Linked DNA regions of Schizosaccharomyces pombe. The gene in region 3 interacts genetically with the main gene of each other region. Each region holds a gene or a part of one and is shown on either strand. Other genes may lie near its edges. The genes, in order: cdc22, eso1, cdc20 and cds1.

Region 1 (7,540 bases), on a different chromosome or scaffold from region 3:
CTGCCCATCCTCCACAATGAAAGGGTCCTCAACGTATACAGGAGGAGATTCAAAAATGGCGCCAATGTTTTCGGCAATGTGACCAAAACTATAGAAATTAAGACGGTTCATCACATTCAAGACACCATTTTGGACTTCATCCTTCCAAGTGCAACCGGTCACACGGCGGTTCGTACACAAAGCTTGCCCATCAGAATTCGTCGTGTAAGCCAAGGCAATGTTAGCTTGTGCAACGGCGCATATAATTCCTTTTGTTTCATAAAACCGATACAAAAAGTCCTGTACAACTTTGGCATGGGGGAAATCAAAAGAACAGCCATATCCTCCAGGTATATAAACAATCACATAGTCCGAAGGATTCAATCGATCCAGTCTTGCGATATTCTTTAATTTCTTCATCAAAGAGCAATCAGGATTAGAAAATATTGATTGTGTTTCATCCACTATCGCCGGGTCTCGAAAGGATTTATCGTCAAATCCATAATCCCCAGTATCAGACGCAATTACTATGTCAAAACCATTTTCTTCAAATACTTTAAACGCTTCATATAAGTCTACTACATTCACGCCAGTGTTATCTCCATCATCATAAAAAGGGCCATAATAGCTATTCAGCAAGAAAAGTACTTTTGGTTTTTCCGACGTCTCTCCTGCTGCTTCATGTCGTTCATCCATTTTTTAATTCAATTTTCAATACAATTCAATGTCGCAAATTTGGGTTATCAGTTAAAATATCCTCGTTATATTTTAAAAATTAAGAAAAGGGGATATTTATCTGATGAAAAGTTATGTGATCAAACTGTCAGGAAATGTCCCTCAAGATGATTACACGAGTCTCAAAACTTATTATCTTCAAATGCGAGTTATTTTGAGCCTTTCAACGATCCTCTCGAAGCAATTTATGTGTACGCCTCCAGCACGAATCACGATGACATGCTTTTTAATTAAAATTACTACTTACTTTTTAAAATTATTCTACTAAATATAAAAACCTGCATAATGTAATATTGAAGCAACTATTTCATAAAGTATTTCCATATCAAGTTTTCTCCTAATAATGATATTGCTATAAACATCGTACTTCAGTTATTGAAAATACTTTCAACTGAAATGGTTAATTAATTTCGTACGGTTAAAATAATTTGTTTAAGTCATGCATGCTACATGATATCCTGTTTATCAACAATCAAATGAGCGACTTATCTCACTCCATTGCGTGCATTTGGTTTGACTTCTTTAACAAACACGCAGTTGCACTTTTCAAACGATCTACTTGAAAAAGGTAATAAAACACATGCTATAAAGATTTACGATGCCACAAATATTAAACCATTTACCATACCTCAATTTAGCCCGTTAACCAGTGAATAAACAAATACCACCTTACCCGTTTACACAAAATGAGGAACATCAGAAGCACTTACAAATTTTTTTATGAAGTATCTTTATCGAATGTACATCTTCCCTCGTACAAAATTTACAGTCTCATGTCTACAAATATACCACGTCGATAATGCATTGCATTAATCAAGAGACAAAAAGTAACTTATATTATTGGGAGTTTTTAAAACCCCGGAAAACATCAAAATTCCAGAAAATTCGTAATCTAATTTATGTATTAGAACCATTCTGAGCCTGCTCACTAGAATGGAAAACCAAGGTTGAATTTAAGACACAATTATGTATGTCGACAAATGAAAAGAATATTGAATAAAAACATTAAAAGAAACAATAAAATGTAGGATATTAAACATGGATGGGATTTAACAAATCCATTTTTGCAACAGTAAATTAGGCTGAGCACATTTCGCAAGCCTCAGGGTTCTTGATGGAGCATGCGAGCACTTTTTCATTATAAATGTCAATCTCTTCTTTAGTGGGCTCTGCAGAAATTTCAGCCTTTCCATTCTTTATAACTGGCTTCTTATTCTCTTCATTAGATTCTTCATTACGAGCGCGCAAGGCCACAGGGTCGACCGTAAATTTGATAGCAGCAGAAGCAGCCATAGTACGAAGATAGTACATTCCAGTCTTAAGACCCTTCTTCCAGCCATAAAAGTGCATACTAGTAATTTTTCCGTAGGAAGGATCCTTCAAGTGAATGTTCAAACTTTGGGATTGATCAATGAATGGGCCACGGTCGGCAGCATAGTCAATAACAGTCTTTTGACTAATCTCCCATACGGTTTTGTAAAGATCCTTAAGGTCTTGAGGAATTTCAGGAATCGCTTGGATGGATCCATCAAGCATAACAAGTTTGTTCTTCATGTCCTCATTCCACAAATCACGCTCAACGAGATCCTTCAACAGCCATGGATTGACAATTTGGAATTCACCAGAAAGAACACGGCGTTGGTACATGTTAGAAGTATATGGCTCAAAACACTCATTGAAACCAAGGATTTGAGATGTTGAAGCAGTAGGCATTGGTGCTACTAACAAAGAATTACGAATTCCGTGTTTAGCAATCTTTTCCTTCAACTCGGCCCAATCCCAAAGATCGGTGGGATTAACGTTCCACATGTCATACTGTAAAATACCCTGGGATGCAGGAGATCCTTCATAACTCTCATATGTACCCTCTACCTGGGCAATCTCGCAAGAGGCCTCAAGGGCTGCGTGGTAAATTGTTTCGAAGATTTGGATGTTTAGCTTCTTGGCACCTGCAGATTCGAATGGTAAACGAAGAGCGAAGAAAGCATCGGCAAGACCTTGAACACCCAAACCAACGGGACGATGGCGCATATTGCTACGGCGAGCTTCAGGAACAGGATAATAGTTAACGTCGATAATCTTGTTGAGGTTACGAGTAACGACCTTCACGACATCGTGAAGCTTTTGGAAATTGTACTTTCCGTCTTTAATAAATGTGGGCAAAGCAACTGAAGCAAGGTTACAAACAGCAACTTCGTCAGGAGAAGAGTATTCAACAATCTCAGTACACAGGTTTGAGCAGCGAATAGTACCAACATTCTTCTGATTGGACTTACGGTTGCATGAATCCTTATACAACATGAAAGGATTACCAGTTTCAACTTGTGATTGAAGAATGGCGTACCAAACTTTTTGAGCAGGTAATGAACGACGACCACGGTTCTCCTTCTCATACTTTTCGTAGAGGGCAACAAACTCGTCACCCCAAACATCTGCCAAACCTGGAGCCTCATTGGGGCAGAAGAAGGTCCATTGCTCGTTACGTTCAACACGTTGCATAAACAAGTCAGGAATCCACAAGGCATAGAACATTTCGCGTGCGCGGAAATCCTCGTTGCCATGAGTCTTTCGAAGTTCTAAAAAGTCCATAACATCGGCATGCCAAGGCTCCAAATAGGCTGCAAAGGCACCAGGACGCTTATTACCTCCTTGGTCAACATAACGAGCTGTGTTGTTGTAAACACGAATCATGGGGACAATTCCGTTGGAAGTACCATTAGTTCCAGCAATATACGAACCGGTTGCTCTAATGTTGTGAATATTAATACCAATACCGCCAGCGGTCTTGGAGATCATAGCACACATCTTGAGTGTGTCGTAGATTCCTTCAATAGAGTCGTCTTTCATCGTAACGAGGAAACAAGAAGAGAGTTGGGGACGAGGAGTACCGGCATTGAAAAGAGTTGGTGAAGCATGGGTAAAGTAGCGTTGAGACATCAAATTGTATGTTTCAATAGCAGCTTCAATGTCCTCACCGTGGATACCAACGGCGACACGCATAATCATATGCTGAGGGCGCTCAGCAACTTTGCCGTCGATACGCAATAAATAAGAACGCTCTAAAGTCTTGAAGCCAAAGAAATTGTAAGTGAAATCACGATCGTATATGATAGCACTATCTAATTCGTCCTTGTGTTTCATTACGATATCGTAGATTTTGTCAGAGATCATGGGGGCAGGCTTGTCTGTTTTGGGATTTACATAGTCATGAAGCTGTTGAACGACAGTTGAAAACACCTTCTCGGTTTGCTTATGCAAGTTGGAAACAGCAATTCTAGCAGCCAAAATAGCATAATCAGGATGCTTTGTAGTCATAGTCGCGGCAGTTTCAGCAGCTAAATTATCCAATTCAATAGTGGTAACACCGGGATACACACCAGAAATGACTTTTTGAGTGATTTCGACGGGATCAACATGATCGGAATCAAGGCCATAACAAAGCCTCGAAACACGAGCAGTGATTTTGTCAAAGGCCACTTTCTCTTGACGTCCGTCTATACAGTTAGTACATTATTGCTTTTCGATTCAATGTCAACAGTCAGTCAATTTTGAATACAACGCCACCAGCAACGAATCTGTCAGCAATCAACCGAACACTTGGAAGTAGAGCAAACGGCTAAAAGAACATTTGCTTAAACATCTCTGCACACAACAAACAGTGAATACTGAATGACACGCTTAAACAAATAGAAAAATCTCAGTTTCTTTAAACATTTACTCCCCAGTAAAATCACGACATTTTTCGAAACGGCAACGTTGTAACAAAATTTCTACTAATCTTCTAACTGTATTTTATTTCCTGTTTCATACCTCTTTTGTATACAAACATCGTGTTTGTTCTAGTTTGTAAGGTGGTAAATACCGGGAATATTTATAGTAAATGAAAAACGCGTTCAGACGCGTCACGCTAATATAACGTGATGCCGCGTCGCGTCATCCGAACTTTAAGTCATGTTGATCAATGTAAATAAATAAAGCTAAGAGTGGAAACCGGATCATTTTTGTAGCTCTACTATATCTAAAAGACGTTAATTAAGACTTGCTAAATAGATTTATCTTTTTCACTTCTGAACATCAAAGTTCCGCTAAAATAAGTCCGACTTTTAAAAATTAAAAAAATATTTTTTTAAAAAAACGCGATTAAACATGTTGAAGTGGTCTGACCTGATACAATACATTCAACTGTTACATTTATCTTTTATTAAACATAAAAAAAGTGTTTATAAATACTCTGTTTACGACTGAATGTAATAAATTAAATATTTATTTACGCGTCTCAATTGCAACGCGACGCGACTGTTTACATAAATTAAACACGCGGTCCAACCCGACTACCAACCTGCTCTATGAGATTGAACTACTAATTTCTCTAATATATCTAGATATCAATTTCCCCTTGTTCTTTATATTACTTTTTGATGTTGTCAATTACCTGTTGGAGAAGATCATAACATACAATTGATAAAGTATTGTTTCCTTGATTTATAAATTGTAAAGCTAAGTTGAGTTAGCTTTTTTGTTAAGACCTCTCAACTTTTAGATTTAAGATTTTGATTCCCATTTCTGTTGTAATATGTAACCTTACTAATGCTTTACATTAAAGCATGAAGATTTCGACTCTGCATTTTACTTATAAGCACTATAAAAGGTACACATAGAGATAGACAAACAGCTTTTAGTAGCTACAAAAACTTTGTTCTTTTCCCTTTAATTCACTATTTGCTCCCTCGCAATTATCCTTTTTTTTAGGTAAAGTCAACAATGCTTATATCTTCATCTGATAATCTTGCCTGTAGACAGAGTGAAAATCAAATGGTAATACAAATGCATAGATAGAATAACAACGGTCACCTTCAAAACATGAAATTGCAAACATTGGTATGCTTGACGTAAAGAGAATGAGATATAAACAGTGTGCAAATTTCCGCAAAATACAAAATGTTTAAACCATCAACTACGGCTATCTGCTACTTCGACTATCAACGTGTATAAAAATACCAAGCGCCTGTATACCAGCAAGGTTATCAACAGAGATAATGTCGCTTCAATTTTCTACAATAATTCTAGTGCAAAATTGGAGACCCAGCTAAAGTTCCACGATAATAAGCAATTACGTGCTGTGAGAAAGCTTATAAAATATTCGGGTTTTGATCGAGTTTCAATCGAGGTGTATATTCTTTAAATTACCGATTTATAAAAATTTACCAAGTCCTTTGACTAGGTAGAAAGGATAATAATGATGGCAATCCTTAACAAAAGAAACAAGGTATTATAGGAAAAATAAAACCATGCAATAACAAGGCAATAAGGGAAATTTTCTTCAAACTAATAGCGAAGAGTATAGCAAAGTAAGCAAAGACTGAAAACAAGACGCATACTCCTTGCAGGTGCCTATACGTTGCAGAACAGTGAGGGGAAATGGTAGAACAGCTATATGAAATGCGCTTAAATCATTGCCAAGCTGACTAAATGGCACGACTTGAGGTAAGTAAAAAGGAAAGAATGAGAGGATATAATGACTATGTAACATGATAGGCCACACAATGCAAAACTCCCACCAAGGTGAAGGTGAAATAAAAATCAACATAAGTCGAAAAAATACGGAAACTTGTTGAATGTGCTTCGACTGAAGAGATGTATAAAAACAGAAAAGATAAATTCTCTAAGTTAAAAAATTTGGAAACAAGCTGTTTACAACAAGATACAACGCTTCTTCTTCTTAGTTCCACTAGAGGGCTTCACTTTGGGCTTGTGTTTGAGCATAGCAGCACGAGTGGCTGATTCAAAAACCTCACGAACACCTTCATTCGTCTTGGCAGAACACTCAAGGTATTTGTAAGCACCAATCTTCTGAGCTACTGCTTGACCTTCTTCTGTGGTGACGGGATGCTGATTAGTCTTGGATAACTCCTCAATAATTTTTGGGTCGTTACGGAGATCAGCCTTGCAAGCGACAAGCAAAATAGGAAGACTGGAACAGAAATGGAGAACCTCGGAAATCCATTTTTCTTGAACATTGTCAAGAGAATCGGGAGAATCAACAGCAAAGCAAATAAGGATAACATGTGAGTCAGGATATGACAAGGGACGTAGACGGTCGTAATCTTCTTGTCCAGCCGTATCCCAAAGAGCCAACTCAACGTGGCGTCCATCAACCTCAACATCAGCTACATAATTTTCAAAAACAGTGGGAACATAGACCTCGGGAAAGGTTCCTTTAGAAAATACACTATAAAGAAAAATGTTAGAAGTTGTATAACAATGACACAGACTCGTGAAACATTGCAGATAAGCAAGCAAAGAGTAAGTAGAAATACAGGGTACGGAGTGCAAATTAAATCCTCGGAACATTTATTAAATGTAATCTAAACCCCATCTAAGTCTCATTTCTATGGGGATTCTTTCATTATTTTCTTGAGGCAATGAACATGCTTACGGAAATAATTTTCTTCTCCAGCCATGCTAAGCAAGAGATGTAAACCCTTGCCAATTTAAAACAGGCCCAAGCAACTACTTTACCCTTCTACTACCTTTCCGACGCTTGCACCATTTTTACTTACATTAATAAGCATGTTTTACCACATGCACCATCTCCCACAATAACGAGCTTTCTGCGAAGTTCTGTCGCCATCCCTAGATTTGTTTACTTTCTCCTGCTCTAGACAGAAAAATTTCGACGTAAATAAACGTTTTTCGACTCAAATTCTGACACCGCTCTTTCCTTCGATGTGGCAGTGGTTAGCTATTTACTAGGCTGTCAGCGGCTCATGTAACAACGAAAGGAAAGAAGGAGACGCTACTACACTTCACTAAATCTCGTTACTTT
Region 2 (7,310 bases), 1.0 Mb from region 3:
TTTAAATTTTTTCATACCCAATAAGGCAGGTAGACACGTCCCTCTTCCGCAATAAATTCTAACACACCCCCATGAGTTTTTTTCTCTGCAGCTTCGTTTTCAAAGTCAAAAAGCATGGGATAACTGACATTCAGGCGTGCTAATAGTTAATTAACAGATTTAAAAGGCTTAATAAATTCTCTTCGCATTACGTACATAGTTTTTCTAAAGCTGAAGGTGGTAATATTACTAGACGTAGTTGTTAATACTAATAATCCCCAATAACAATATAAAAAATATTGAGCAGAGAATGTTAACCATAAGCAAATGCGCAAGCAAGCGCTCAAAGATAAAATCACATGAACTTCATGAGTATATAAAATCAAATCTCCAACAATGTGAAAACTTAAAAGTATTTTCAAACCTTACCTTTCCCACCATAATTGACATTTGGCCGTTCCTCACCAGGAATCATGGCAACAGGATAACAGCGGTAACGAGTATCAAATCGCTGATTTACATTATTATGAAAAGCTGACCGAAGTTGAGACATCATGGAGAAACCATCATCGTCGCTTGAGAAAAAGCTGCCGCCAAACTAATACGTGAGTAAGTCAACGTACGCATTCTCTAAAAAAACCATACCATATTTGCTTTTTTTGCGAAAAAAGGAAAGAGTAACTATGGTTCTCCCAATTTTTTATAATGCAACGTAAATGTTGTAGTGCAAGCAAAATACACTTGATGACTGAAAGAATTTGGCTATGTACAGCATTCGTTGACGCAAATGCCACTATTTGGGACCAAGGCAAGAAGTTAGTTTACGAAATTTAAGGAGGTTCCTCAAGGTCTTTAACTGTTTATAAAATAGTACCTTGTAATATGTTATCTGAGCCTACCATATGTGAAGCATAGCTGTACTATCTTGATATTTCATGAAATATCAGTGCAATTCTCGTTAAGCTTTACAGTGTAGTTTTGGATAGATACGTTGTAAAATTGGGTCATATTCTTAAATGTTGTCAGTTGATCAGTTGATTATAGTAGCTCAACAAGGACCGTGGGTTTCTTGAATAATTTGTGACAAAAGTTGTGCTAGTTCTTTAGACCAGAAATTGTTGGTGTTCATGAGCTAAAACTTCACCAACACCAAACTCTGGGTACAATCTTCACTGTACATTCGTGATTAAAGAATAATCGATTGTTGAGTGTTTAATATCAGTTGTTCAATTCAAAGGCATTCCCAAAGCAGGAGACAGTATTGTCTACATTAACAATGGCTTATCTTATTGATATACCATTTGAATACTTCTCTTCTTTCCTTGGAGTCCACCCGGATCAGCTCAAGTTACTGTTTTGTTTTCTTTCAGCATACCCGTTTGCCGGCATACTAAAAAGACTTCCTTCGGCTCCATGGATTAGAAACTTATTTTCAATAAGCATAGGTTTATTTTATCTCATTGGTGTTCATCATCTTTACGATGGCGTTTTAGTTTTGCTATTTGACGCTTTGTTCACATATTTCGTGGCCGCGTTTTATCGATCGTCACGAATGCCATGGATCATATTTATAGTAATCCTTGGCCATACATTTAGCAGCCATGTTATTCGGTACATTTACCCTTCAGAAAATACTGATATTACTGCTTCACAAATGGTACTATGTATGAAGCTTACAGCGTTTGCCTGGTCTGTTTACGACGGTCGTCTTCCTTCAAGTGAATTATCTTCTTATCAAAAAGACCGCGCGTTGAGAAAGATTCCTAATATCTTGTATTTCCTTGGATACGTATTTTTCTTTCCCTCATTACTTGTTGGTCCAGCTTTTGATTATGTTGATTACGAAAGGTTTATAACCCTTTCTATGTTTAAGCCTTTGGCTGATCCTTATGAAAAACAGATAACACCACACAGTTTGGAACCAGCCTTAGGTCGTTGCTGGCGAGGTCTGTTGTGGCTGATTTTATTTATTACCGGAAGCTCAATCTATCCTTTAAAGTTTCTACTTACACCTAAGTTTGCTTCCTCCCCTATTTTGCTAAAATATGGATACGTTTGCATAACTGCTTTTGTTGCAAGAATGAAATATTATGGCGCATGGGAACTTTCTGACGGTGCATGTATATTGTCAGGCATTGGTTATAATGGCCTGGATTCTTCTAAGCATCCTCGTTGGGATCGAGTGAAGAATATTGACCCTATTAAGTTCGAATTCGCAGATAATATCAAATGTGCTCTTGAGGCTTGGAACATGAATACCAATAAATGGCTTCGAAATTACGTTTATTTGAGAGTTGCAAAGAAGGGAAAGCGTCCAGGGTTCAAAAGTACGCTAAGCACATTCACTGTTAGTGCAATGTGGCATGGAGTTTCTGCTGGATATTATTTGACTTTTGTTTCCGCAGCCTTTATCCAAACAGTTGCAAAATACACGCGTCGCCATGTTCGCCCATTTTTCCTTAAACCAGATATGGAAACTCCTGGGCCTTTTAAGCGAGTCTATGATGTTATTGGTATGGTAGCAACAAACCTCTCTCTCTCCTATCTAATTATCTCTTTCCTTCTTTTGAATCTAAAAGAATCAATACACGTTTGGAAAGAGCTATATTTTATTGTGCATATATATATATTGATAGCTCTGGCTGTGTTCAATTCCCCAATAAGGTCGAAATTAGATAATAAGATACGATCCAGAGTCAACAGCTATAAACTAAAAAGTTACGAACAATCTATGAAATCCACTAGTGATACGGACATGTTAAATATGTCGGTGCCCAAAAGAGAAGATTTTGAAAATGATGAATGAAGGATTAATTTGCTATGAGGTAGCATCATATGCAATAAATTGAAGCATTTGAATATTTTGCAGCTTTGTTAACAGCAATTTCATCTTAATTGTTCATCATATACAATACCTTTCATGGCGGCAGTATATTCATTGTGTTTATATATATGTTTACATATTAAAGTAGTCTCTTAAATAAAATTCCTGAATGTTTTCTCTCAATTCAGTTTTTAAGTTTAACATCTAATTTCCTTTGATGATTTATTTTGGTTACAACATTATGAGAGTTTGAATTTATTTTGCTTTAGTATCTGGTAGTAGGTAACGTTGCTATATCTAGTACCTTAGTCCACTAAATTCAACACGAACGCGCTATAGAACTTGAGCGATTCTTATTAAAGAACTTTTTTGAGGGTATGAACTGAATGGAATTAGGCAAAAGCAAATTCTCTTGGAAGGACTTGCAATATTGTGATAAAGCAGGTACACAAAATTCACCGTTAAGGGTTGTAGCTCATATTGATCAGGATGCTTTTTACGCTCAAGTCGAAAGTGTTCGCCTAGGATTAGACCATTCAGTTCCCCTTGCTGTTCAACAATGGCAAGGGCTTATTGCTGTAAACTACGCAGCCCGTGCAGCGAATATTTCACGCCATGAAACAGTTACTGAAGCAAAAAAGAAATGTCCAGAGCTTTGTACCGCTCATGTAAAAACTTGGAAAGCTGGGGAGTCAGAGGCTAAGTACCATGAAAACCCAAATCCTAACTACTATAAAACCTGTTTAGATCCTTATCGGCACGAAAGCGTTAAGATTCTTAACATCATAAAGAAACATGCGCCTGTGGTTAAGAAGGCTAGTATTGACGAATGTTTTATTGAACTTACGAGTGATGTTAAACGGATTGTGTTGGAGGAATATCCTTACTTGAAAATTCCCTCTGAGGACTCAAATGTTGCTTTGCCGCAGGCTCCAGTGCTACTATGGCCTGCTGAGTTTGGAATGGTCATTGAAGAAGAAGTTGTAGATAGAACGAAAGAAGATTATGAAAGGGATTGGGATGATGTTTTTTTATTTTACGCTGCAAAAATCGTGAAAGAAATTCGCGATGATATATACTTGCAACTCAAATACACGTGCTCAGCAGGAGTTTCTTTTAACCCAATGCTTTCAAAGCTTGTCAGCTCGCGTAATAAACCAAACAAGCAAACTATTTTAACGAAAAATGCAATTCAAGATTATTTAGTGTCATTAAAGATTACTGATATAAGAATGCTGGGCGGAAAATTTGGAGAAGAAATAATTAATTTATTAGGAACAGATTCTATTAAGGATGTTTGGAATATGAGTATGGACTTTTTGATAGATAAGCTTGGTCAAACTAACGGTCCACTCGTTTGGAATTTGTGCCATGGAATTGATAACACTGAGATTACTACACAAGTTCAGATTAAATCAATGTTGTCGGCTAAAAATTTTTCTCAGCAAAAAGTGAAGTCTGAAGAAGATGCAATTAACTGGTTTCAAGTATTCGCATCTGATCTTCGATCACGATTCCTTGAACTTGAAGGAATGAGAAGGCCCAAGACCATTTGTTTGACTGTTGTATCAAGATTTCTGAGAAAGTCAAGGTCAAGTCAAATACCTATGAATGTTGATATTAGCACTCAGTTTATTGTTGAAGCAACATCCAAACTGTTGCGTCAACTGCAACAGGAATTCGATGTATATCCGATTTCAAACTTATCTATTAGCTTTCAAAACATCATAGAGGTTGATCGTAATTCTAGGGGAATTGAGGGTTTTTTAAAAAAGTCCAATGATGAAATCTACATGTCTACTTCTGTTTCACCTTCTATTGAGGGACGCGCTAAATTATTGAACGAAAATATGAGGGAAAATAATTCTTTTGAATTATCTTCGGAAAAAGATATAAAGTCACCTAAAAGGTTGAAAAGAGGTAAAGGTAAAGGGATTTTTGATATGCTACAACAGACCGCTGTTTCTAAACCAACGGAGAATTCAGCTGATGAAACTTACACGTGTGAAGAATGCGAACAGAAAATTACTTTATCCGAAAGAAATGAACATGAAGATTATCATATAGCTCTCTCCATTTCGAGAAAAGAACGCTATAATAACTTAGTACCGCCATCCCATGATAAACCTAAGCAAGTAAAGCCTAAAACATATGGAAGGAAAACCGGTAGCAAGCATTATGCACCTTTATCCGATGAAACAAACAACAAAAGAGCATTTTTGGACGCATTTTTAGGAAACGGTGGAAATCTGACACCAAATTGGAAAAAGCAAACGCCAAAAGCAATTTCCAACAGCTCAGACAACATGACCCAGTTACACTTAGATTTGGCTAATTCCACCGTAACTTGTTCAGAATGTTCTATGGAGTACAATTCAACGAGCGAAGAAGATATTTTGCTTCATTCTAGGTTTCATTCTCGGGTTCTAGGAGGTGTTACTGTGTCCTTTCAATGCTCTCCTATTTATCGCGTTAACTATGGTTTGAGTTCCGATTGCATATACAGCATAAATTCAGAAAGCTCATTAATTGATCAAAGAAAAGCAGAGGAAGCTTTATCTTTCGTAAATAACGAACTTTCAAGTGAGCCTATTGAAACAATTGGGGTAGATAAATATACCACATTTCTATTCATATCAGATAAGAAATGTGTCGGATTACTTCTGGCAGAGCGTATATCTTCTGCATACATAGTCGATGAACTTGAACTCAACAACAACAATAGCACCTCTTCCGCAGTATATATAAAAAACGAAAATCTACGAAAGGGGTTTGTATTGGGTATTTCCAGGATTTGGGTATCAGCTTCAAGACGCAAACAAGGGATAGCAAGTTTACTATTAGACAATGCTTTAAAAAAATTCATTTACGGTTACGTTATATCGCCTGCAGAAGTTGCTTTTAGTCAGCCTAGTGAAAGTGGTAAACAGTTCATTATTTCGTGGCATCGTTCTCGAAACAATGGTTCTTCGAAGTCACTTCGATATGCTGTTTATGAAAGTTGAAAATAGTCTGACAAAATTAAAGTTGTTCTAAATATCTATCTAAGCGTTATATAGAAGTTTTTTTTTTAAATTATTAATTAATCATTAATGAAAACCGTTTTGTTTAACGAAATGTTTGGCTTTGCCTAATGAATGATGCTTAAGGGCATCTATTACAACTGGGAACACTTCCTCTTTAACATCCTGGCCCCATAGAAAGTCAAGATGTTCATAATGAGCAATCTAACTTATATTAGCATATTGAGCAACAAACCTATAAAATAAAAGGCTTACCGAAACTTCCTTTGCATGGGGAGGAAGAGCAGTTCTCATTACTTCCATATTGATCAAAGTATCTTTACCTCCCCATAGTATCAGCATTGGGCATTTGATATTATTCGTAGGAAACAGAGGAACTTGGTAATGGCGTGAACCATATCCAGCTAGAAGAGCCATATCGTCGTCATAAAGCTGGAAAGTACAGTTTTTTATAATCTGAAGCCAGTGAACAACACTCTTTACACTTGAAAAAGAGTAAAGATGTGCATAACCGCAAAGTTTTTGATTAAGAGAAATGTTGGATAGGTCCCAGTTGAATAAAATTTTAAGGGATACATCGACAATTTTTACAAAAATTGGGGGATCTGTAGAGTAAGCAGATGAAGTTGAAATTTAAAAAAAAGAAACATACAACATATATTTTGCCAAAAAGTGACTGAAGGTAAAAGACAACGGCGCCCAAAAAGATGATACATAATTTTTGGATTAACTTTGACAATATAGTCAACGAAGTAATTTGAAAAGCCTTTGGGAGCATAAGCAGGCGCTAACCCTATGAAAATATTTACTTTGTCATTCAAATCCGGATTAATGCTAAGTGCAGCCATTGCTTGAGCAGTTCCTTGAGAAAAGCCAATATAGTTTAGTTTTTCTCTTCCTGTTTCCCTCAAGATGTAATCAACAGTATCGGGAATATCAAACATGGCCATATCATCTAACGAGAAGTTCCAAAATTCTTCGTCCTTCGGTTTGTAAGTAATGTGTTTCCTGCTATACTTGTTTCCTCGATTGTTGCCCAACTAAATGTATTGTTAGTCAACGCCAAATATATCCTACGAAAATCTAATGTAAACATTTGCCCTTCTCATATTTGTTAAATCAATAGCTTTTCTTTACGCGTCTTCAACAATAGCTCGGGATAGAGTCTTGATCTGGCAAGCAAATAACTTACCCAAACATCATATCCAGATTCAATTAAAACAAAAGGAAGACTTCTCTCGGATTCATTAACTGCAACCCATAATTCAGAATTTGTCATGAGCCCATGGTGACAATAAACTACTTCACGCTTATGTTGGCTTTGCTTAGGATGTGTAATTCTATGTAGACATAGTATAAAGTTGTCTTGAGTTCGCACAAGGTGTTCTTCAACCCGATACCCAAAGGCTTCGCATATTTCATAAATGTTTCGACACTTTTGAACCGCATCGGTCATTCCATCCGTAGTTTTAGAGCTTATGTAG
Region 3 (9,524 bases):
TCCGCTGCATGAACAGCGTTCCTTTAATGACCATTGCTTAACTGTCTTACATTTAGAACAAATCAAATCTTGCAGTTGATATAATGTCAATTGATGGTATAAGTTATCCACCAAAGTTTCCTCAAACACCCATCGATCGTAAACTAAGTTACAGCTGGAACAAGACCATCCGTCAGAAAACACCAAGGTCCCCATGTCATCGCGAGTAGGCCATAGATGCTCATGTAAACAAAGGTCAAAATCCTGATGGACGCCACACTGCTTACAGGGTATTTGATCAAGTGAAAGTCGACGACTAGGATATCGAAATACCGCCTGAGTGGAAAACTCTTGAATTTGTAAAAGTGACAATAAACTCTTTTTTAAAAAACGGACCTCCAAATTGAGATCATGGGAGAGTTCAAAAACAGCACAGATGCTTTTAACCAATTCTAGAGCGCCATCAGTATAGTTAAGAAAAGAACCTGGCAACTTTGGAAATTTAAGATCTTCTCTGGTATTTTCATCAAGCTGAAGCTCTTGAAAACATCTCCTTACTTGAGCAACTTTCCGTTTAAGAGGATGTATCAACTTACTTTTTAAAATTCCCGATCCAACTATTTCAGAGTCCTCATCAGCATTGTTGTTTTTCACGCGAACAAACCCAACTTTTGTATTAGACTTTTCTAATTTTTGCTTATAAACCTCTTCAATAAACTCAACAATCCAACTCTGAAATTCGGGCTGAATGATTGGAGGTAAATGACTTTTAATGTGCCATGAAACAACTGTCTGTGGTTCTTCATTTGTAGCTGAAAAATTTGCTGCCACCATTTTTCCTCCATAATTAACGGAATCCATCCATAAAAGATAATCCCAGTATTCCGTGACATTTAGATCCAAAAAGTGAAATAGTGGTAACGTCTTAATGGATTTGAGTAAATAATTTGAATAAGTGACAGCGTTCTGGACGATTAATTTGCTCGTTTTGATTAATATTTTATTAGCAGAAGCGTGTATGATATGTGCTCCAAGGCGTTTTATCTCAGAGAGAAGTTGTAAAAAAGTTTTTCTCATTATAACTTCCACGTGCGAGGAGAGTAAAGGACTGTACAGATAAGATTTTGATGAAGAAATCCATCGGGCTAAATGTTGAATTATAAGATCAGCGAGATTATTACCGGATGCAGCTTCGTTCCACCAAGTTTTAACCAACGCCTTCAACACCGGCAATGAATGTGTCAGTCCAATATTATCATGTATTCCCAACTTTTCCTCCAGATCATCATTTATGGCGGTCATGTAATTATCATTCAAAGCTGCCATGTCGCCAATACCTTCTATGTCATTTATGAGAGCAGAATTGAGAATGCTACAAAGTGCAAGGTTGGAAAGAGAAATGTCAACACAAGCATTTGAATAAGCACCAGGATTGTTAACTTCTAGTGGATCTTTGGGACTGGCAATCTGCAGAATACTATCCTTCTCAATACCACCTAAGTCTGGAGTTGGGCCTTTATTCCACCAAAGGATAATATTATGTTCTTTCAGCTTTCTAGAGTAAACAACATCGATACTGTACTGAATGTCATCGCTTTCAAAGTTGCATAATGGGATATCTGAGAAGCGAGAAAGTTGTATGCGATGGAAAAGCCAGCTACCAATAGCTAAGAAATGTTGGATCATTTTCGTAGCAATGTGTTGTTTCCAAGAAAGAGACTGTATGTTGCTCTCAAGCCGTGGTATCATTATATACGGAAGCTCTTCAATTTGCTTCACATTTGCCTTCAATATGTGAGGGAGTGAACTTTCAATAATAAGCAGACTATTTTTAGTTTTAGTTGAAAAATATTGAAGCAACTTTTCATCTATCAGTTTGTACGCTTTCCTTTCGTTTCCCGAGAAAATGACATTACACGAAAGAGTATCAGGGTATTCGATACTACTTTCCTTAATTAAATTATCAAATTTCGACCGTAGCTCTTCGTAAATTTTGCTGATTGATGGGAAAGACATATCACTACCTGGCAGTTTGTCATAAATTATGGCCTCAACTTTTTTTAAATGTGGCATAAAAAGTGAAAAAACAAACCTATTACTAATGGAAAAATGGAATGCATAAAGGTAGTTCATCTCTACTCCATCAAGATAGGAAACATCGTTATCACTTGGGTCAGTGAACATTTTAGATTCAAATCCAAATTCGAAGCCTTTACCTAACGCTCCAGGTACTGAATTATTAAACCTTTTTCTGGATCCCATTTCTAATATCAATCTTTCAATTGGTTCTATACGAGTCTCATATATTCCACTAACAGACGGATGGGCAAAAATCATAGAAATTGATACCTTTTCCGTTAAATAGCTCTTTTCTGGAATTTCAAGTAAAAAAAGCTTATCCGAAGTGCTTCCATGCGGTAATATCGCATTGCTTTTTTCAATTAAGCATCCCTCAATTTCAACATTCGGTAAAGTCTCATCTTTGAAACATACAAAAAACTTTCTATTCACAATGAACCGTATCGAGGTCAACCGATTACGAATAATTACCCAAGCATGTAAAATACCAGGAACATCGGTTTCTCGTATTTGTAAAATATGCCATAAATTTTCAAACATAACTTCAGCAGAAGATTGTAAAACATTGGTGAATTGCCTTGATTGAAACCCAATTAAATGTCTTCTTCGAAGCTTGACCTGCTTCTGATATTTCCACTTTTTCTTAGCATACTTAAGCCAATTCGAATATCCATCCATAAAGGATACAGGTTTTACTTCAAAAGATACAGGTGCTTCCGAGTTCCCAGATTGTTGTAAAAGTTTACGCTTGGTAACTCGAGCGACAATACGCTTATCTTTGTGAGTCACACTTCCTAAATCCTCAATATCAGTAACTTTTGTGTTGTTTATTGTGGATGGATTTGTAGGGGCTAAGGAGAAAATGGAATCGATCTTTTTCTGTTGGTATTTAGAATTCAAGACAGCAACTCGTTTTTGAAGCCAGTCCGGCAATGGAAAACGGGTAACGGGGTTTGAAATCCTTTGGAGAGCAGCAGGGATGCTAATTAGTTTTTGTACTACTGATCCTAGACGTTTCAAATAATAATCCCAATCAATAATGTCTCTAATATCAACATCATATAGACCATTATCTTTCAACCAGAGCCTAAGAAAATGTCGCTTAACAGATTCTTCAGCAAAGAAAATAGCTACCGGTACTGCCCTTTCTGCAACTGGCCTTCCTTTTGGACTTGCGGAAATAATAAAACGACATGCTAGACCTTTGTCTTTGGTCATTTGATCACCCAAAAAGTCAGCCAGTCGCCTGGCTGTAGTAATGGATGTCGATTTTTGGCTTCCGTATTCAGACAAAGCTTTAGACATACTACGATTCTCAGAAATCAGTTCAATTAATTCATCATCTGTTAGGTTAGAGCCTTTGGTGAATAGAATCTCTAACCAAGTGTCAGCAACATAGGCAACTTCTTGATAGCATTCCTCTAAAGAATCACCTTTCAAAAAAACTTTAAATATCTGAGATTGAAAATCCTTAATGAGCTTCAATTCTCCTCTTCTTTTCACCTCAAAGCCTTTAAGTTCAGCTAAACTACCATCGAAATTGAAAACGGCATAACGCTTTTTTAAGTTTTTACCTTCTTCCGTTGAAGCAGGCAAAATCATAGCTCTATAAGGACCATCAACCTCAAAAAAAATGCTGTTTTCACTAGTTGTTTCATACACCAATTTCTCTGGGTCCTTTAAGGCAGAATATTGATGATTGGTGAACTTTTCATGAACCAGGTGATTTAACATAACGCATGGATAAGAGATAAAAACCTTTCCTCCGGATTTCTTTTTAAATTCAAAGTTTTCAGGAAACGATTCTGGAAGAATACACCAAATACCATCTGTGTCAAGTTCCAATGGCCTACCTGCACGTTCAACTATTTGACGAGCCATCTGAATAATCGTAGCGCCTGTCAAACATGTGATACCAGCCATTTCAATCGAATACCAACGGGAGCCTTTTCGCATGACATATCCATAGAAAGAGTTTAAAATAACTTTGTGAGCTAACTGTAAAGAATCGTAGAGTACGACCATCTTTTTGGCCTCCTCTATTTCAGCAAGTCCTCCTTTTTCCTTTATAGCAGCAAGTTGTTTGACCCATTTTTTTTGCAATCCTTTAAAGTCATAACGGCGATCCCTAAAGCTTTTTACCGTATCAATATAAAATGAGTTTTCCTTTTGACAAATTATAGTTTCCCTTTCGATAACGGTATTATCATATAGACGGTGATACACTTTACGGCTGTAATCCGCAATGCGCTTTTGCACCATAGCAGCTTGTTCTGAGGGAGAAAGCTCTTGAAATGACCTAAAAGGTGAGAAAGGGGTAGGGCCTGGAAAACGCTCAGATTGTAAAGCAGAATATATCATATGATATTCACCTTTTTTAGCAGGGTAATACTCCCCTCTCCATGCCCATACCATCCGACGATCACATGTCTTATTGGGCACATTAAGATCGCATGTTGCACAAAACGATTCATCTTTTACTGAATCTGGCTGTAACCGGTTGGTAATCATAATATTTGGGTACATTGAGGCGACATCAAGATGGTAAATCCTTGGCTTCTCCGACCTTTTTGGTCGATCACGAAGGTCACTTAGTTTCTTTAATATGCTGTCTCTAACCTCTTCATAATTTTCGATTTCATCAACATTGACGTTGTTTTCAACTGTTAAAGAAAAATCTAAGGCTTTGTCCAACTGTAAAATTAGTTCTTCATAAACTTTTGGATCCATGTTGAAATTAGTCGGCAAGTCGCTTCTAAAAACACCACTTTCAAGACTTTCAACATGTCCTCCAACATAAGTCTCACTTGCAAGTAAATGACCGTCGAAAAATTTTTGACTAGCATCAACATGTTTATTCGGAAGAATAATATTTTTTGTACAAGCCTCAACAGTTAAAAGCGTTTCACACAACGTACCCGTGCCTTTACGTAAAACTTCATCAGGATTTAATGGGATAATGTTACAAAGAGAAAAAATGAAAGGATGCACATATTTCATGTAAAGAAAATAAGTAGCAACAGCATCTGAAACTGAATATTGAGCAAGAACTTGAGGTTTTTCACTTGCATAAGGAGTCATCAATTCTGGATCTAGTTCGATAGGATTATAACCTAATTTACTGACAGTGACAGCTTTGAGACCTTGACTTCCTTGAGGTAAATAACTATCTCTCTTTACCCACCGGAAGGCATCCATATGACTACAATAAGAAGACTTATATTCATCCTCTGCGTCCCTGAAGAAACCAGTTTCTTCTGTTAAATTCAATCCGTGAAATGCAGCACGTGCGTCTACAAATGGCCAGTCAAAGAAGTCACCATTGTATGTAACTATTACTGAAGGCTTTGCAGACCTTATATGTTTAAAGAATCGATGAAGTAGGCCAACTTCATCAGGCTCATTAAAAATAATAAATGGGCCCTCAAATTCCTCCCTCGGAGTATAATGAAAATCTTCAATATTCTGGGAAATAATTTCTCTATTGGTAATTAAAAATCCTTGGCCATCAATCATATAAGATATCATCATTATTTTATCGAACGAGCTATCAGGAAACTTCAATGGCAGCTTAGTGGTTTCAATATCAAAAGCCATTATAGTAGGTTCTGCACGCTCGATTCGGGAAGCTAAAAGGGATATTTGAACATGGCCTTCATGATATGAAACAGTATACCATTGTCCGACTCGAATATTCAAATCAATAAGTGTACGAGAATGATACGGAACATCGTACTCACGGATATCTAAAACATGATTTAAAGGATCTTCAAATGCGTTTTCTATAATCCCGTTTAAATTCTCCGAAGACAAGTTAGTGTATGCATCAACGGCATCTTGTTGGGAAGAATTAGCTTTCACAGCAGACATCAAAGACTTCCTGACAGCCTGAAGGTCATTCAGGTTATCAAAAACCAACTTTATATACAACTTTTGGTAACCCACTATGTGGTTTTTTAGCTGTAAATCTTCTTTAAAGATACGCGTAGTAGATTTAATTAAGCCCACAAATTTTTTTTTTAAATAATCGTCAACCAAAGCTTCTTTACCTTCTCGAGCAGCAATGTAGAAGTAAGGAGAGTATGGAATGGTACACCGGAAAGTGTCACCATCGTCTTGAATGAAGTAAAAGTCAACGGCACTGAGGGTAGAATTGCCTTTGGTGCTTTCGATTACTGTTGGATGAACGTTGAGAAGCCAAGCTTCTCGTGGTTGTCCACCTTCATAGCTATCAAAACCCATCATTCGATCAATCTCATTCTTTTTGTAGACAATTTTCATAGGATCATTGAAGCCAACTTCCTCGGTTGATTTTGCAAACGTCCTACCGTTCGATTTACTTTTTCCATTGTAGTTACCATTAAATTTCCTAAACTGATATTTGGATGCTCCTCGAGCTGTTTTTAAGGGCATAGCAATACAAAATAAATATTAAAAAAAGAAAGTAAAAAGAGACCGACAGTTTAGTAATTTCCGATTGTTACCAGAGAATTCTAAATTAATAAATGGAATAGTATTAAGAAGAAACTTCTTCTATTGTACAAACATTAGGTATCCTTTTAAATGTGATATAGTGGTTTGGATTAATACCGAGTTAAGAGGCAACAAATTGGTAAACAACAAGTCGCGTCGCGTCGACAACTTGCAAATTATTTTGGGTATCATGTTCCAGTTCAAAGCATTACAATTTATTTATTTTTGCCATAAAATAAAGACAAAGTACAAAAAAATACAAAATTTAGTATACATTAGCCTAATGATCGTGTGTTTCGACCGTAAGTAATTATTTCAAATCGATATTGCTTCCTTTAAGGATTGAATTTAAAGAAAAAAAAAAAAAAAAAAAAAGCAGTTTTCTTTTAGAGAAGCATGGTGACGCGGTTTCTGCTTTCAGTGATATAAATTGTCAAAGCTTGGTTATTTTGGCGAAATATACTATCATAAATGGAAAAGTTTATATTAATTCAAAGAAAAAAATATTGTCTGATTGCTGAAGTACAGGATTAAAGACCCCGCCATAGTAAAAAAACTTAGTAGTGCTTAATTCAATCAGTTTGATACCTTATATTTACCTCTATTCCACCATTAACTGAAAAAGCTTAAACGAATCAGTAACTATGAGTACACCAAATGAACCCGAAAAACCTGGGATTATTGACGCTTTCAAGGTAGAATTTATAGCTTAAAAAGGACTAGTTTGTTGTAAATGCAAGGAATGCTAATACTACTTGTAGTCATTGAAGATGAGTGATTTTGCTCACATGGTACACCATCCTTGTTTTAAGGAATCATTAATCACCAGTGTCGTCTGTGGTCTAGGTGTTGGTTGCATCCATTTGTTTCTTCGAGGTACGAAAAAAAACATTATGCTGGTTAATTGATGTCCGTCAAAAAAAATCGCATGTCTTTTAATTTTCGGACCAACTTTTTAAAACGGTGATTTCAATCCGTTGTTTAATAAGCGGTTTAAATTCTTGCCGACACATGCTAACAATATTCAAGCACCTATTTCTAGAGCTGCTAATTGGGGGTTCGGAACTTATTTTGGAATGAGCATCGTCTCTTGGGAAGGGTGTAATTACCGCAAGCAGCTTGAAACTAATAACTTCAACATTAAAATTACAGAAGCAGCAGAAAAGACCCCGAAGCATCGCTCTTCAAGGTCCGCTCAAGAAATTGATGAAGGTTTTAACGAGTAATTGCATTCATTTGATTCTTTAGGTTCTACTTATTCTTAAGCTCTTTTCATCCCTCTATTGCATGGTATGCTGAGTTTTTCATTTGATCGATTAACTCTTATTCAATTAATATTTTAAATTTGAGTTCATCGGAATGGTTTGTCATTTTTAAATGGTATTCATTGAAGAGTGTGAATTATCACCAAAGAATCCAATGTTGAATTTTTAACTGCCTCGAAGAATTCAATCTTTTTAGGGTGCCATTACAATGGGTGGAATACATACTCTTGGTATCTTGAACGTTGTATTAACAGCAAAAAAGTCTTAAAAATATACAGCATCCACATTTTCCCAATATTAACTAAACAATGGTAGACTTTTTGTTCGTTATTTACTTTATAAGTACTAGCTCATCTCAATCTTTCGTGCGTGTATGTTTACCCCTTTATCGTAAAGTCAGTCTACGACCTTGCGAGGGCATCGCATGATTTCAGCTAAAAACTTTCCAAAATAAAAGTAACAAGACCTTTATGGTGGTTTATTTCTACTAACTGGATGAATAAGCTATGTGATATTTTTGAATGTAAATATGTATTCTTTACGACAATTTTTGTACGATTGGCTAGAAAAAACATTAAAATCAAGTATTTGCAGTCCCATCGTCATTCTTGTTTATTATTTTTTAACAAAGTAGTTTAATCAGGGTAATTTCTTTATTTATAATTATCATCGATGAGATATACTGTTTTTAGGAGGAAAGTTAGTGGCACTTCAGTCGTTTATTAAATATTGTACTAGAAGGAATTGCATTCATTATAGCAACATTTATGTTAGTTATGTAGTCATAAACGATTATTTTAATTCAATTGAAAACTGTGAGTTTCCAGCAATATGGTGATGCTGCACTACGTAACTTTAGCTGTATCATTATTCACTTTATTTATTCGACTAATCTGTTGAATTACACTATTTTTATGTTCAAAATTAGATTCAATTTTATTAATTATATTAATGAATAGATTCAATTGAATATAGTCCTTCAGTTTAATTATGAGCTCTTTGATGTTTATTATATTATCAAAGTTTTAAAGGTAGCCGAGAATAATATTATAGGCAAATTTGTTACTTACTTTTCTTAACAGTTCTATGATAAATCGCAATTCAATGCTTAACGCAGCATTTAGGTTCGTTAAAGTACTTTAAAAATATTACGCATCTAATGACTATTTCATTTTAACAAACTGCTTTAGTTCCACAATAGTGTTATAAAACTTTAACGTGAATGATGTTTTAACGCTGTTTCTTACGTTATTATCGCACGCTATTAGAAGGAGTAAACAAAGTTCTCGTTCACCATACATTCAATACAGTTTATCATGAGTAGGTCATTTCGTAATGGATTCCGCTTGTTGAAGCTTTCTCAAATGGTATTGTTTAAATATTTATTATAAAGAAATTTTTTAACCTTCTTTTAAAGGATTTTGAACGGGCATGGTGGGATATGGCAAACTTGTTTCGCGCTCCACGTCGAGTTTATCGGTCCATTACCCTACGGGTATGTAAATGTGAAAGAAATTATAATTAAGATATCAAAAATATTACTCTTTATTTACTAACGCGTTGTAGAAACGTATGCATGCAACTTGGATTTGTCAATTCGTTGAATTGAATGAGGCTTAACTAACACAATTTATAGAAAACATCAACAGATATGGTCGAGAGGATTTTTCGTTTATCGTTCTTTTTTCATGTATGATAGTAATTAGTGCTTTGTTGTGGGCTTTGTTT
Region 4 (6,157 bases), on a different chromosome or scaffold from region 3:
AGTTAGTTTATTAAAAAGAATAAAAATAAGAAACGGTTTCAAACATCCTGAAATACTTACGATATCCACATAGCGGTCCTCTGATCCACTAGCTAAATAGCGACTGTCATAACTAAAGCTTAATGTACGGATGGGATAACTTTTTAGAAGTTAGCGACCAAAAAATTTAAAAGAAACTACATACTCCATTCTAGTAATCGACCGTTCACAAATCAGTTCTTGTGGATCCCATAAACTAGTAATTGCATCTGCACCACCAATGGCAAGGTGCCTGTTATCCGGACTGAATTCAATACAGAAACAATTTGAGTTATGCGCCTTTATATCGTAAACTCTTTTTAGAGAAGGCCATTCCATAATTTGCACCGTGCCAAGTCCTGTAGTCATGAAAAACAAATCTTCACTGAATGACCAACAGCATTCATTTGTCTATTAATCGTAAGCAAAGTTATTATTGGTTTAAAAACAAACCTCACAAGGTTGTTGGAATGTCTCCATTATTCTTCTTTCCCGAGCATCAATAAAAGACAACATATCATCCTAGCATTCAATTAGCAATCGTGCGTTATAAAAACTTAAAATATTCTCGTACCCGACTACTAGCACAGCAGTAATTTCCACTTGGACTCCAGGTTGCATAAATATTCTCATAGTTGCTTTCTATTTCAGCGATAGGTTTGGCGCCTGAATAAATAGTTAACAAACAGTCAAAGACTTCATTGCATACTTCTAAAGTCCCAGAAACGGATCATTTTCCCAGCATACACAGCCATTAACCGATCAGAATGCGTAGGATCCCATACTAGTTGTTCGACAAGACCATATCCTCTGTTCCCTAATTCAGTAGTAAATTTAAAATCCAAACGATCTGAATTCCAAACAAGTACTGATCCTGAAGATGAAGAACTCGCAAGTCTCGAGCCGGAAAGATTCCAGCCTAGGGAACGTATAGGTCCCTGTTGCCCTTGTAAATCTCGAGTTTTCAATTCGGGAAACTTTGGCTAAAAAGAAAAAAGAAAGTTTTAGTATTTTATGCTCTAGTTTTTATAAATCATTAACATACAAGCGATTCTGTAACTGAAGCACACATGGCAAAGATCGCGTCGAGACGTCCAAAGGGATAGTAGTACGTGGACAGAGTGGTTAGTGTAAACTTACTGTCTATTTACAATATTATAAATTTGACGGTCTAAGTATAAAAATTAATTATCATTTAGAATACTAAATATTAATAATCTAACTCGAAGAATTGAGCTGTTCGGTGGCCTCATGTTCAGACGATGATGGTGGAGTACGATGTTCGTGTGTGCTCACAGTGTAAAACCAAGGATGCTGGAGAGCTTCACTTTCAGATATTCTTTTCTCTGGATTAATTTCAAGCATCCTGTTGATTAAATCGATTCCCTCTTCTGAAATTTCGTTTTCTAATAAAGGCTCTATCGGATATGCACCTTTTGATATCAACTCAATACATTTTGCTTGTGACGAAGATGCAAAAGGAATAGACGCAGTAAGCCTGTGAATTAGTAATTGGAAAAAATTAAGGCATGAAGGTTCATTGCTAATTGATTAAAGCCGACAAACTTACATCACATATAAAACACATCCCAAACTCCATATATCAACTTTATCATCATAACCTCCGTCCAAGTTGACGTTTTTTGACTTCAAAACTTCCGGTGCTAGATAACCCATTGTCCCGCAAAATGTTTCTAAAAAGGTTCCCGTCCCATGAATAACTTTAGCCAAGCCAAAATCAGATATTTTAAGATGGAAATCATTTGTTATAAGAATGTTCTACAAGTTAGACTTTCTTATCAATAAACAAGATATACCTCGGGTTTTATGTCTCTATGTGTCACACCCTGCTTGTGCAAATGTAAAAGCGTTTCTAAAAGTTGTTTGAGAAGAGGTTTACAGTCTTGTTCGTCGATGGAGCCATTAGCAATTAAAAAATCCATAAGATCCCCACCCTCAACATATTCCATAACAATAAATAACTCGTCATCATTTTCAAAAATTTCATGGCATTGTACAACTCCTGGCTAAAAGATAAGTGTTAGCTAGGAGTTTTTCGTATAAAAAAAGGTGAACATAAAATGATACTCACATGGTGCAAAGATTTTAATATATCAATTTCTCGTTGAAACATTTCAGTAGCTCGCTTTTCCGAACTTGTCAAAAGGATTTTTCGTTTGTTGATAATTTTAATAGCATACCACTTGCCACTATTCACTTCTACCGCTAGCTTGACAACTGCAAATGTACCACTTCCAAGTGTACGAATAATTTCGTAATGACTGTTCTCGGATTTAATCATGTTTTTCTGGGAATCTCGTGAATGTTTAACTGGTACCTGGCACAAAAAAGCTATAAGACTGTAAGCAAACTTGAAGTGAATTCTACGTCAACAATCTCCTTCAGTGTAAAGGACGTACAAATTTCATCTTTCGGCACACCTAGGCCAATTCGAATTTCATCTCCGTTTGACAAGATAGTTCTACTATTCTTGGCAAGCCGTTCCTAAATGACGTCAGTAAATTGTAAACGAATTAAGCTCTCGCTTACAAAATTCAGAAATGTTCCATTAGAAGAGTGGTCTGAAATTGTTAGAAAAGGTGGAAGAGGCAGAAGACTTTAAAAGATTTTTTAATCCTTTAGACTTACCGTGTAAAAAAACGACATTCTCAGATTCATCGGAATCATTTCTATGCCCCTGGGTCATTTCGTTAGATAATTATGTCTTAAAGAGATTGAAGTTCAATTAAAACTAAACGAGTTCAGCTGGCCACTATTATTTTATATACCTGATAGATTTCAAAATGAAAGTTGCTAACTCTAGGTCCGTTTAAAACCACTTCACAAGATTTATGACGTCCAAATCTCCAAAACCCATTGTGCACATCTGTAGTAAGAGGAATCACTTCTGTCTTACCATCAAGCATGCGAGTCATAACCAATTTCATAAATACATTTTCGTTGTTAACCACCTGTTTGGCTATGTTCTGACTAACATGTAGTGGTGCCTCTTGAGTAGCCTGCGTAGCTTCTTCTGGTTCTTCCATAGTATCTTAAAAACAGAAAAACTGGATGAATTCTTTAACCATGTATATCAGTAAACACAAATAAACGTGCAAATGAGTGATCAAGCTTTTAACAGAAGTAAAAAGACCAAAGAAGCAGTTATCATGTCAGACGAGGGCTTATGATTTACTGACTTCGCTTTAAACATCGTTATAAATTTTACGATATAAAATGTATCATAAGACAATAATAACGAACTGTTGCAATACCAGATTTTTCGCGAAGCACGAGTAATATAAACAATGTTTCATCCACCTACTTTACTGTACGTTATACGTAGTGAGGATTAAATGTTAATTGTTAAGTAGTAGTAATCCCTATTTATATTTTTTTGGTATACGTGAAGGTTGCCATCTGTCAACATTCCTTTGTATTTCAAACTTCGACTTCCGCGATTGAAGACTTTGTTCTACGGCATTAAATAGTTTTCTGATCTCCTTAATTGTTACCATTATTCAAAAATCTTCTATACCAAAGCAAGGAATAAGAAATATAATGCTGATTCTTGGTTTAACCGGCTCAATTGCCACGGGTAAGTTATCAAATAACAATTGGTTTAATAGTGGTTAACCTAGTTAAGGGAAATCTACAGTTTCTCGCGAGTTTCAAGAGAAATATCATATAAAAATTATCGATGCTGATGTGTTAGCTAGAAAGGTGGTAGAACCGAATACACCTTGCTTAATAAAAATTCAGAAAGAGTTCGGTAATGAAGTATTACATGAAGATGGCACTTTGAATCGAGCAAAGCTTGGCCAGGCAGTATTTCAAGACGCAGGAAAGAGGTCACTTTTGAATTCAATAATACATCCAGCAGTACGTTTGGAAATGCTCAAAGAACTGCTTCGATGTTACGTACGGGGTTACAGCATAGTTATTTTGGACGTTCCTTTGCTTTTTGAAGCTAAAATGCAATTTATTTGCTGGAAAACGATCTGCGTGTCTTGCGATAAAAGCATTCAAAAGCAACGTTTGCTGGCACGTAATCCTGAGCTTACTGCAGAGGATGCTGAAAACCGAGTACAAGCGCAGATGCCTCTTGAACTTAAGTGTCAGCTTGCGGACATTGTAATAGAAAATAATTCGGATCTTGAGACCTTATATGAAAACATACATAATGTCCTACCTTTAATCACACCTTCCTATTTTTTTACCTTACTATGTTTAATTCTACCGCCATTGCAAATAACTTTACAAGTTATTGCCTTTGTCTCGCAGAAGAAAAAGGTATCTGAATTCAGAAAACATATATAATCCTTTTTTCCATATTCTTTAATTTCCTCGTTTGTTATTTAAGCCAATAGTCTTAATGTTTTTGCTTATAATTAGATCATTTTCATAACTTATCTCAATATCTTGCCTCGAGCTTTCTATATAAATTCACGAGTATATGTTTTATCATGATTTGAAATGAGAAATTAAATCTTTTCATGCGCATACAAATAGCTGAACACTACAATAATGATTAATGTAGAGGTTCTCGCTTAGATTTCTGGGTTTTAAATAAGAAATCGATTGCGTTCCTTCTTTCATTGTCTGTATACTTGGGTATTGAACTTGTATTAATCAATCTTTGCTACAATGCGTGACTTATATTTATGTCAAAGAATAATTAAATTTTTTTTGTTAGTTTCGTTGGGTTAGCTAATTTTTTGATTGATATATTTGTTCACGTATTTACAATTTACATGTTCGCATCCACCATCACTTGAACACCTTGTCAGTAAGTGTTCAGTAGCCAATTTTCTGGCAAAATGGAATCTGGATCTATTGATTTGGATAAGGGTGAGTCAATTTAGTCATTACAATTATGCTAACTCCATGTAGAGATAGATGAATTGAGCAGGGTTTTATTAGAGCATCCTGCTCATGTGGAAAAAGTTTTAAAGACCGTTGAGTTCGATAAATCTGCCCTTCGTTATATTGATGCAATTTTAGATCATCATTTGAAGCAGATATATCGGAATTTGACATCCAATTCTCCTTTGCATACGCTTTCTCTACTTCAAAAAATGGCATCTTGGAATAATGGATTGGCATGTGTTCGTGTATTCCAAGCTATTGACTGGAACAGTAAAATTTTTATAAAGATGCTCCAGCTACCTAATCAAATTCAAAATTCTAGGAAAGGAAATAAGCGTCTCAAAATCACTATATCAAAAAAGCGGTCCTCTTTACTACTTCTTTTCATTACATTCCTTAGGCTTGGTACACCAGAAATTCGACTGGAAATATTAAATTCAAGGAAACTAACTACTCCTTTGTTTAAAGGTATATACAATGATGAGCCTTCGGTTCTTAAGGAGCTACTTCAATGTTGGCTCACTTATGTGTTACTAGATCATGATGTTTCTAGGGCAACAAAATTATCTTATTTTAATGAATGGTCATTGTCATGCTTAGCTTCTCTTTATTCAAGAGATGATGAAATTGATGGCATTTCCTTATGCAATCTTGTTCATAAATTTTTTGTCGATGCTTGTACAGTACCTGGTGAAGGGCTTTGCTTCGTATCAAATGGATGGCATTTACAGAAGAAGGTGGATGGACAATCCAAAACTATTTTTAATCGTGTCTTACAGTCATTTGTTTTTTCATTGCATGTTCATACAAGTACTTTACAGCGGGAATTAGTCCTTAAAATATTAAAGGCTTGTCCAGATATTACGGCATCATTTATAGAAAGAAATAGTTTGACCTCTGAACCGGTATTATCTTATCAATGGATTTCTTTCGTTTCATTACTCCAAGCAATACTTGGTATGGGCATTCCTTTTCCTTTTTACGATGCAGAAACAAGAACAGTTCCTCCTACTAATATTATAATTGAGAACATATTGCCTTCTTCCTTTTCAAAGCCTGTAGTCCTTAAAGCATTGAACGGTAATGACAAATTTGTCTGTTTTTTAACGGTGAACACTCTCTTAGCGTCGTTTAAACGTTTAGAGTCTGTATTGGATGAAATCAAACGCTCTGAATTGTCTGAAGATAATAAAGTTGAACTTGTGTCAAAGATATCTGATGCAATTTTACTACGTTTACCCGATTCTCAAACTTTTGTACAGCTTTATTC

Evidence for each region.
Region 1: mutations in cdc20 (region 3) and cdc22 are lethal when combined (synthetic lethality), as found in Schizosaccharomyces pombe (one study listed by BioGRID).
Region 2: of cdc20 (region 3) and eso1, a mutation in one rescues a mutant of the other (synthetic rescue), as found in Schizosaccharomyces pombe (2 studies listed by BioGRID, with this or other methods).
Region 4: mutations in cdc20 (region 3) and cds1 impair growth when combined (synthetic growth defect), as found in Schizosaccharomyces pombe (2 studies listed by BioGRID, with this or other methods).

Annotation. Positions count from the first base shown.
Region 1 is NC_003424.3:4,223,985-4,231,524, reverse strand, and holds cdc22 (ribonucleoside reductase large subunit Cdc22), read right to left. Parts: upstream 4,556-7,540; 5' UTR 4,544-4,555; coding exon 4,525-4,543; exon of another isoform or gene 4,209-4,524; coding exon 1,792-4,208; 3' UTR 1,536-1,791; downstream 1-1,535. Other genes in the region: hsp3105 (ThiJ domain protein, glyoxylase III), read right to left, coding at 1-675; Rho family GTPase Rho1, read right to left, coding at 6,406-6,943, 7,275-7,345. UniProt on the Schizosaccharomyces pombe protein: Provides the precursors necessary for DNA synthesis. Catalyzes the biosynthesis of deoxyribonucleotides from the corresponding ribonucleotides.
Region 2 is NC_003423.3:4,275,471-4,282,780, reverse strand, and holds eso1 (mitotic cohesin N-acetyltransferase/DNA polymerase eta Eso1 fusion protein), read left to right. Parts: upstream 1-3,127; 5' UTR 3,128-3,189; coding exon 3,190-5,808; 3' UTR 5,809-5,892; downstream 5,893-7,310. Other genes in the region: Hrd1 ubiquitin ligase complex subunit Ufd1, read right to left, coding at 18-139, 196-228, 409-577, 625-627; ale1 (MBOAT family O-acyltransferase), read left to right, coding at 1,256-2,785; SPOM_SPBC16A3.12C (triglyceride lipase-cholesterol esterase), read right to left, coding at 5,893-6,030, 6,082-6,431, 6,479-6,866, 7,019-7,310. UniProt on the Schizosaccharomyces pombe protein: Probable acetyltransferase required for the establishment of sister chromatid cohesion and couple the processes of cohesion and DNA replication to ensure that only sister chromatids become paired together.
Region 3 is NC_003423.3:3,250,836-3,260,359, reverse strand, and holds the start of cdc20 (DNA polymerase epsilon catalytic subunit Pol2), read right to left. Parts: upstream 6,639-9,524; 5' UTR 6,472-6,638; coding exon 1-6,471. Other genes in the region: respiratory chain complex IV assembly protein Cox20, read left to right, coding at 7,176-7,226, 7,293-7,407, 7,561-7,757; mug16 (UNC-50 family protein, implicated in vesicle-mediated transport), read left to right, coding at 9,113-9,163, 9,214-9,291, 9,363-9,366, 9,433-9,524. UniProt on the Schizosaccharomyces pombe protein: DNA polymerase II participates in chromosomal DNA replication.
Region 4 is NC_003421.2:738,166-744,322, forward strand, and holds cds1 (replication checkpoint kinase cds1), read right to left. Parts: upstream 3,174-6,157; 5' UTR 3,066-3,173; coding exon 2,808-3,065; exon of another isoform or gene 2,717-2,807; coding exon 2,668-2,716; exon of another isoform or gene 2,601-2,667; coding exon 2,569-2,600; exon of another isoform or gene 2,524-2,568; coding exon 2,439-2,523; exon of another isoform or gene 2,371-2,438; coding exon 2,111-2,370; intron 2,046-2,110; coding exon 1,836-2,045; intron 1,798-1,835; coding exon 1,589-1,797; exon of another isoform or gene 1,517-1,588; coding exon 1,237-1,516; 3' UTR 1,196-1,236; downstream 1-1,195. Other genes in the region: THO complex subunit Tho3, read right to left, coding at 61-139, 185-429, 472-540, 593-684, 728-1,001, 1,064-1,090; cab5 (dephospho-CoA kinase), read left to right, coding at 3,580-3,616, 3,665-4,338; ribosome biogenesis protein Urb1, read left to right, coding at 4,839-4,869, 4,912-6,157. UniProt on the Schizosaccharomyces pombe protein: Has a role in the DNA replication-monitoring S/G2 checkpoint system. It is responsible for blocking mitosis in the S phase.